Xenopus tropicalis: one gene and its partner. The protein of the gene in region 1 interacts with the protein of each later gene in a pairwise test. Links are inferred from orthologs where the notes say so. Each region holds a gene or a part of one and is shown in the gene's direction. Other genes may lie near its edges.

Region 1 (3,500 bases):
TTCTTGTGTGTTTTTAAATATAAATGTGAAATATGGCTGAATGACACAAATATGCCCAATAACACCTAATTGCTAGTTTAGTTTAATTATTCAGGCAGTTAAAGCCCATAAGTTGATATGGATTTAATCTTATGATATTGGGCTGCTGTGCCTTAAAGTCTAGCAGTCTTCTGTCATCTAGGCACTTCTCCACCCATTCTTCCAAGGCAAATTGTATTTGCAGTGCAGCACTCCTGTGTAAAAGGTCTAGTACAAATGTGCTTGGCTTGGTGAAAGAGGGCCACGCTAAAAAAAACCTAAAAGGTAAGTTATGGGTTGCATAACTTATTGCAACTTATAGTGCAGCTGACCCTGGTAAAAGGAGCAATGATCAATGTCATAAGAATAATAAAACTAGGTCATATATATATATATACATATACATATATATTATTATTTGCTTTTTTGACTCACTCCAGTTGTGTACAATATTTTATGCTGAAAAAGTTGCTGTAAAATAAGTCAAATACCTATATTTATAAACTTCATTGCTGTCATGAATTAGTGCATACAGTCCCATAAATAATGCATTACAAAAAAGCTAATCAACATATTTACAAAGTTCGGGAGTGTTTTTTTTTGTAATTTTTTTTTTATATTCATTACACTGTTGGCAGAAACCATAAATGTCAATAAGGAGAATTAGGTCAGCAAAGAATTGGCATTGGCTAAAGTGCAATTCGCTTGTTCTAAACAACTTTCTTTAAGTAACTCTATCAGCAGTGAACAAGGACGCAGAAAGTGATGGCTGCCATCTGTTCTGTTTGCTGTCACTAGAGAATCAGATCCATTTAATCTGGAAACAAGGGGAGATGCTATGCACAGAAGTTGACATGGAAACTGGGCCACAGATAACGATCTCAGTAGCTACTAACTATTGTCCTTGCTCTCATGAGGAGCCATTTTATTCAAAATCATAGGTTAAAACCTATGTACAGATATTGAACCTTAGTAAGGTTTTACATACAGTAAATAGGAAACTGTCTCACAGATAATTTTCTCCTAACTATACTAAACTGCTTGATCCTATCTGAGAAATGTCATCTAAATTTGTTCAAACAAGACCTTGTTTTACTATCAGTAGACAGGACTCTGCTGTGATTGGTGACATTTATAGGCTATTTATTAAAGGAGTCACTATCCCTGTTGCTAAATAAAGTGGATGTGTGCACCTCGTTTCAGAGTCATATGTAACCCTTCAGAGATTTCTTCTTATCATACTGGCTTATAGAAGCATTTTGATTTGCTGGCTTGTGACTTTCCACATTTAAGGTGTAGCTTATTTTGAGAATCTTTACATTACAATACAGCATAACCCCAGTTCAGTGTCTGTGCACTGAATGCATCATTCTGAAGTTCATAGGTAGCAAGCCACTTTGTTAGGCACAGGTCACACACTTAAAATCTTATGAGTCTTAGTTTTCTCCAAAGCTTCCTTTGCTAATCTAACTATTATTGGGTGGTTGTGGGTTTTTTTTAATAACATTTCATTGGCCATCTCTTGAAATCCGCCACCCCCACCAAAAAAAAAACCTGATTTTAGGACAGGTCACAGAGATAATATGGAGACTGTTCCCACCCCAGCTTGTTTTACATTCATAAGGCTGGTTCAAGCAACATTTTAGGATGCATTCGCTGCATACATAAATGTTTGTTGTTAATCAACTGAAAAACATTATTTGTTTTGTTTTTCTGTAGTGCATGTGTTCATGTTATGCTCCTTTCTGCATCCGATTTTTTTTTTCTTCTTTTTGTGTGTGCTGCATTTGTTTCTGCTATGTTTTCTTTTGCATTTTAGCTAAAATCAGATTTGCCATGCATGATGCCAGATCTAGCACTCACTGCAGAGCCATAGCAGATAAGAAGTTGCAAATGTGCATACGAAAAGCACGGAGTCTTCAGGACCGCATGCAGCTGCCGACAATTCCTCAGCCGCCATCACCAGATTACCCCTTGCCACAGGGGGAAGCTATAAACCAATCTACAAGGTAGCTGCTGTGTAACTTCCTTAACTAGGCATGGACTAGTGAATTATTCTTTGATTTCTGTATTTAAAGGTCAAAACAGAAATGATCTTATTTAAGCCTACCATCAAGAAATATTTACTATACACCTCTTGTTGAAATATATTACATATTCAAAAGGTTGGCTACCTTGGTAACCTTACTGCAGTTACTCTTCCAAATAACGCAGTCTATGCTGATAACAAAAAGTCACTAGCCTCTCAAATTGATACAGTAGAGAAGCCTGATTATTATGCTGCATTTTGCCGTTGCTTGGTCCATTTAAATGTTACATTTTTTTAAGCTGGAGCCGCTTAAATTCAGTGTTAATGTTATGGTGTCTGCTGCATTGTGTACAGAGATCTTCTGATTGCATAATGGAAGCCTTTGTTTACAACTTATAACTCATATATTTTAGTTGCTAATAACGTGTCAAAAATGTTTAATTTTTAGTGACCAGGCTATCTCGGAACAAGTTCCAGTGAACAGACCGGTAATGCTGGAGACCAACACAAAGGAGGACTACCCATCCAATCCATTATTCCACCCGTTAGCTTGTAGCCATGAGTTGCTTCCATTGTCCTCTGAGTCTTCCAACTTGTCAGCTTCTGAGCAAAGCCCACATAGCAAAGCGTTTTCTAACTTTCTGGCTCCATATAACAGTCTCGATTCTGAAGGTCTTGTCTCATCTCCAAAGGAAGCAGTGTTTGAGAATAAGGTGAAATCAGAAGCTTATAGCCAAGGCCTAGTAAATGAACAAACAAAAACAGAAAGGGTAAAGAATGTCAGCCCTGATAAATGTAAGGTGGGAGAGGAAAATGAAGGAAAAGAAGGCCTTCTAACATTGCATAAGGTGAAACTAAGTGGGATTAAATCTGGTTCTTTACCATCATTGCTATTTCCGTGGGCACGCCGAACACAGACTCAGTCTCCTGATAGAAGCAACCCACCCAGTCATTGTAATAAATCTGTTAGCACAGACAAATGTGTTAGTACTGAAACTGGTGAAAGTAATAAACAGATGGGTTCCTGTAATGACATCACTCCACCTGGTAACACCAGCCTCAGCCTTCAACAAGCCAACTTGTGCTCAAGTGCAAATAGTCATGAGGCATTATTAGACAAGCAAGGTGAACTTTGCGGTCCAGAACCTTGCAAATCTGAGGCACCAAAGAATAAGGGGTTAGTACGCTCTCTAGCAGAACAGTTTCAAAGGCTCCAGGGGGGCTCACCAAAACTAAACAATTTTGGTGTAAACTGTACTGGTGTTGATATTGGTGAGAAAAAGCCACTGCCAGAACAGCAATCTTTCAGTCCTTTGGATAATAAATCCAGTTTGCAGCCCCTTGTAATTCATGAAAACAAAGCTAGCTGCACAGAACAGATAGACCTCTCACCAGACTGCCTGGGCAGGTCTTTTGACATAAAGGGTTCCAGTATACATCTTGTTGATAACCA
Region 2 (4,027 bases), on another chromosome or scaffold:
CATGTACATACAGTAACTAGGAGCCACTCAAGATTAAACTTCACGTTGGCTATACAGAACCCCATGGGTAACTGTGGTGGTACCTAAAGACTCAGCACACTCTCAGTCCTGTGTAGCTGTGAATGAGACAGCTATGTAGGGGAAAGAACATGTACACAGCGCAGCAACTGACGGCAGGGGACCTGGTAATCCAAGTGCAGCACAGCCAGGCCCCCCCCCCCCTTAAAATCCAAAACCCTTGGGGCCCAAAACAACTGCCCCCACCCCGATCTTGATGGCAGCCCTGCATTAGCACAAAATTATATGTTCTTGCAACTATATACAGAGTATTAGTAGACTGTGCCTTTTCCAAGAAAATCAATAAGTTAATATAGAGTGCTATTCTAATTTGCAATTGGTCATTTTTTATTATTGGTAGGTTCTTAATTATTTTACTTTTTGTTCGGCAGCTCTGCAGTTTGGCATTTAAGCAATTATCTGGTTGCTAGGGTGCAATTACCTTAGTAACCAGGGAGTGGTTTGAAAGAGTTACTGATATATGAATAGTAGAGGGCCTGAATAGATAGATTAAAAAAAGTAACAATAAATTTGTAACTTTGCAGAGCAATAGTTTTTTGGGCTGCTGGGGTCAATGGCCATTTTGAAAGCTGGAAAGAGGCAGAAGGTGGCAAATAATACAAAATAAAAAAAATGAAGACCAACTAAAAAGTTGCTTAGAAGTGGCCATTCTAGAACATATTAAAAGTTAACTTAAAGGTAAACAACCCCTTCAAGTGCCAGACTATAATACATTACCTTCCTGTAAGAAGCTTTTGGGCTGGCAGGACCTCACATATAGGGCTCTTTTATATAGAATTCTAAATCGCTGCTATTTATAATCCCTAACGCCGGGCCCTCTGTGCTTGCTGGGCCCATATTTAAGAAGTAGGTGGGTATGAATAATGTAAGCCTCTAGTAAAGCATCTGGGTCACAATAAACTAGGCTGGCTGAGGACTCTGTCTACACACTAAAAACTTATATATGCCAGGCTGTATTTCTCAAGCAATATATAGTTCAACATTGCACGTTAAAGTGCTGTTCATCTTGACGGTATACAAGAGGCTCCTCTTTTCCAGTTCGCTGGCACAAGTAAGCAACTCTTAGCAGCACAAAAAAATACATAACTTCGGTAGAAACTGGGTGGTAATGGCGAAAAATAAACAAGAAAACAAGAAAATATTTTCTGGTTCTTTTCATGTCCTCAACAAACGTAGGAGGTGCGACCAAAGGAAAAATAGATTTCAATTGAACCTCCAACAACTTGCAGTGTCCGACTGGGTTACACCGGCTCGTCACTTCCACTAGGCGGATACGTGATGCGTCATCGCGCTTACGTTTAGTCCTGACGCTAGTCTCGCGTGATGAGACTTGTGGCTTTGGGATTTGCTGTAAGACAGGAGGCTAGGAGCCTGCAGTTAACAGTTTTACGGGAGGTGTAAGTAGCGATACGGGACTGCGGGCTGCGCTTGGGAACTCGGGACTGCTGGGCTGTTTTACGGAATGCGGGGGACTATTTGGCAGTATAAAGCAGAGTAGGGCAAAGAACATTCAGGCGCCGTAGCAACCTAAATAGCTCCCGAACTCTGCAGCTCACTGACAGCAGGGGGGCCGGTATCCAAGTAGGTGTAGCACTGCCGGCCCCCACCTTAATGCTCAAAACCCGCTGGTCTAGGACGACTCCCCCCCCCCCCCCCCCCCCCTCTCCTTGGCGGCCTTGACAGGAGCCAGTAGACTAGAATAATATCTACATTTAGCGTGTTCAGTAGAATTGTTAAACATTTTGCAACACAATAATAAAATAAGAGCTGCCCACTCTTTCTGCCCGAATGTCTTTTTTAACGATGGGTTGAAGGTGGAGTTGCCCTTAAACAGAAGTTTGAATAGATCCTCTTTGAAAACATATCGTGTGTATAATTTATAGCAGAGTTAAATATTTATTGGTTTCCCCTGTGAGTGGGGAGGGCGTTAGTTTTGTGTGTTTGTGCGCAGTGGCTTGATACAGAAAAACCTTTGCTTTGTGTTGTATTTGTAATTTTATAAATGCATATTAGTCTTAGCATTGCAGAAAAATACTTTAAAATTGTCCTTAGTATATCAAATGGGGTAGGCTGCTTGTGAGAACCTGAATCCCAAATGCAAATGTATTTATATGCCTAGGTCGGTGCTATCCAACGTTTTACTTGTAAATTAAATTGTATTTGAAAGCAGTTTTTGTCTGCACTTTGCTGTTCCCTTCTGATTACAAAATAAATGTATCAAATCAGGTCTCCTCTTTGCACTCTTCTATTATTCTCCTTTTCAGATATGTTACAGAACATGAAAAGAAGGGAATAGAAAAGACAGCCATACACTGTAAGATCGACTCAAGGTCTCCAAAAAAAGCAGAACTTTTTCCTAATATATTCACCTTGGGGTGGGCGATATTAGATTTATCTGATCATTTGGCCTGAGGGCCAAACAATTGGATCACATTGATGGGATATAGACTGTTGGCATGAGGGCTGTGGGGAGCGCTTATTGCAGTTTATTGCTTCTTGAATATTGTTCTGTTATCATTTGTCGGTCACTATAAGTTGTCTTATTGATCCTGACATTATTGTGGTGGTGCAGTGACAGGGAAGAGTTTACTGAGGTCTAGAAACCAATAGCAGCTGCATCAGTGTTTCTCATGTTTTTCATGCTGTAACGGAACATTGAGTGCTACCTGTTGGTTGGATGTTATGGGTTACTAGATCTAGGAAAATGTTGTTCTTGTTACTATATATAGGCCTATAATTTGTATTTTTCTAGATTTGCTATTTTCATTTGTTTTATTCTAGTGTCTCTTATGCTAATCACTAATCTAATTAGATTCCCTTTTGTTTAGCTCTTAGAGTTTACAAGACATCCAAGGGATGTAAATGGAGTTATCAGAGGTTATTCCTGTGAGGCATCAATGAAGTTAATAAACTACAGAGATCCCAGGCAGAGTAGGAGACAATATGAAGCCTGCACATGAGAGGAGCCAGGAATGTCTTCCACCAAAGAAACGGGATCTGTCACAAAACAGTGTAAATGTGGAGGAGGAACCCAAGGTACCTGGCTCATCTGCTAATGAAAGTACAACAAGTGAAGCTTCAGGATGGCCGAGGAGTGTGTATGTGGCAGCAGGACAGGGACATGGAGTTAGTTATGAAGCTGCGGGGGAGGAAGCAGAAGCTGTAACTGTGGATCAGTATGCAACGTTTTACAAAGTTGCAGTGCCTGCTGCCTCCTTTTCCCCACCTGGTCTCCATCCTGTGATGAATATGAGCTCCATCCCATCATCCTTTAATGTAGCTTCTCCTTTGATACAGCACCCAGGTATTACTTATCCACCTATTCATTATGCTCCAATTCCACATACTGCTGTGCAGTTCCTTGGTTCCCCCTACGCAGTTCCATATACAGTTCCACCAGGCTTTCTTTCTCGAGCAGTGATATCACCTCCTGCCAACTTAGCTGCTTCTCATGTCCCTCACTATGTGCCATATAATTCTGTCCTTGTTGAGGGTGTGACTCCACCCTCAGAGGCTCAGTCTCCCCACTCCATAAGCAAACTTAACACTGCACAGTCTCCTTCAGTCCTAATGGGGGTGGTGCCAGTGGATGTTGCAAAGGGAAGAGTGCCTGTATTCTATCAGCATTCCTCTCAGCTGCCAGTAGCCTATCCTGTGAACGAAATGCTTCTGGCATGCCATTCTAACACAGAACTTTGTGCTCCTCCCCATGCGGGTAAAGACAGAGATATTCCAATCACTTCTACAAATGGGACACAAAGGATGCCTGATCATGTCTCTGGCCATAGGCCCAGTAAAGTAGTAGACCTTTACAGCCAAAATGCAGAGGAACAGCTTGGAAGGGGGCAAGAAAATATGGTGGATGGTGATGTTTACACAGGACTGGCAACACAAAGGACAGAGGCTTCTTTGCTAACCCACAGGAGCACCCCAGACACAGATTTGGAAG

What was found. The genes of interacting proteins can lie anywhere in the genome.
Region 2: the proteins of usp54 (region 1) and atxn1l interact in binary tests that used the Homo sapiens proteins (3 or more experiments, as listed by UniProt). The link is inferred for Xenopus tropicalis from reciprocal best matches to the Homo sapiens genes USP54 and ATXN1L.

Annotation. Positions count from the first base shown.
Region 1 is NC_030683.2:44,369,352-44,372,851, forward strand, and holds part of usp54 (inactive ubiquitin carboxyl-terminal hydrolase 54), read left to right. Parts: intron 1-1,837; coding exon 1,838-2,027; intron 2,028-2,495; coding exon 2,496-3,500.
Region 2 is NC_030680.2:59,918,724-59,922,750, forward strand, and holds the start of atxn1l (ataxin-1-like), read left to right. Parts: upstream 1-1,227; 5' UTR 1,228-1,475; intron 1,476-1,500; exon of another isoform or gene 1,501-1,572; intron 1,573-2,906; 5' UTR 2,907-3,021; coding exon 3,022-4,027. UniProt on the Homo sapiens protein: Chromatin-binding factor that repress Notch signaling in the absence of Notch intracellular domain by acting as a CBF1 corepressor. Binds to the HEY promoter and might assist, along with NCOR2, RBPJ-mediated repression.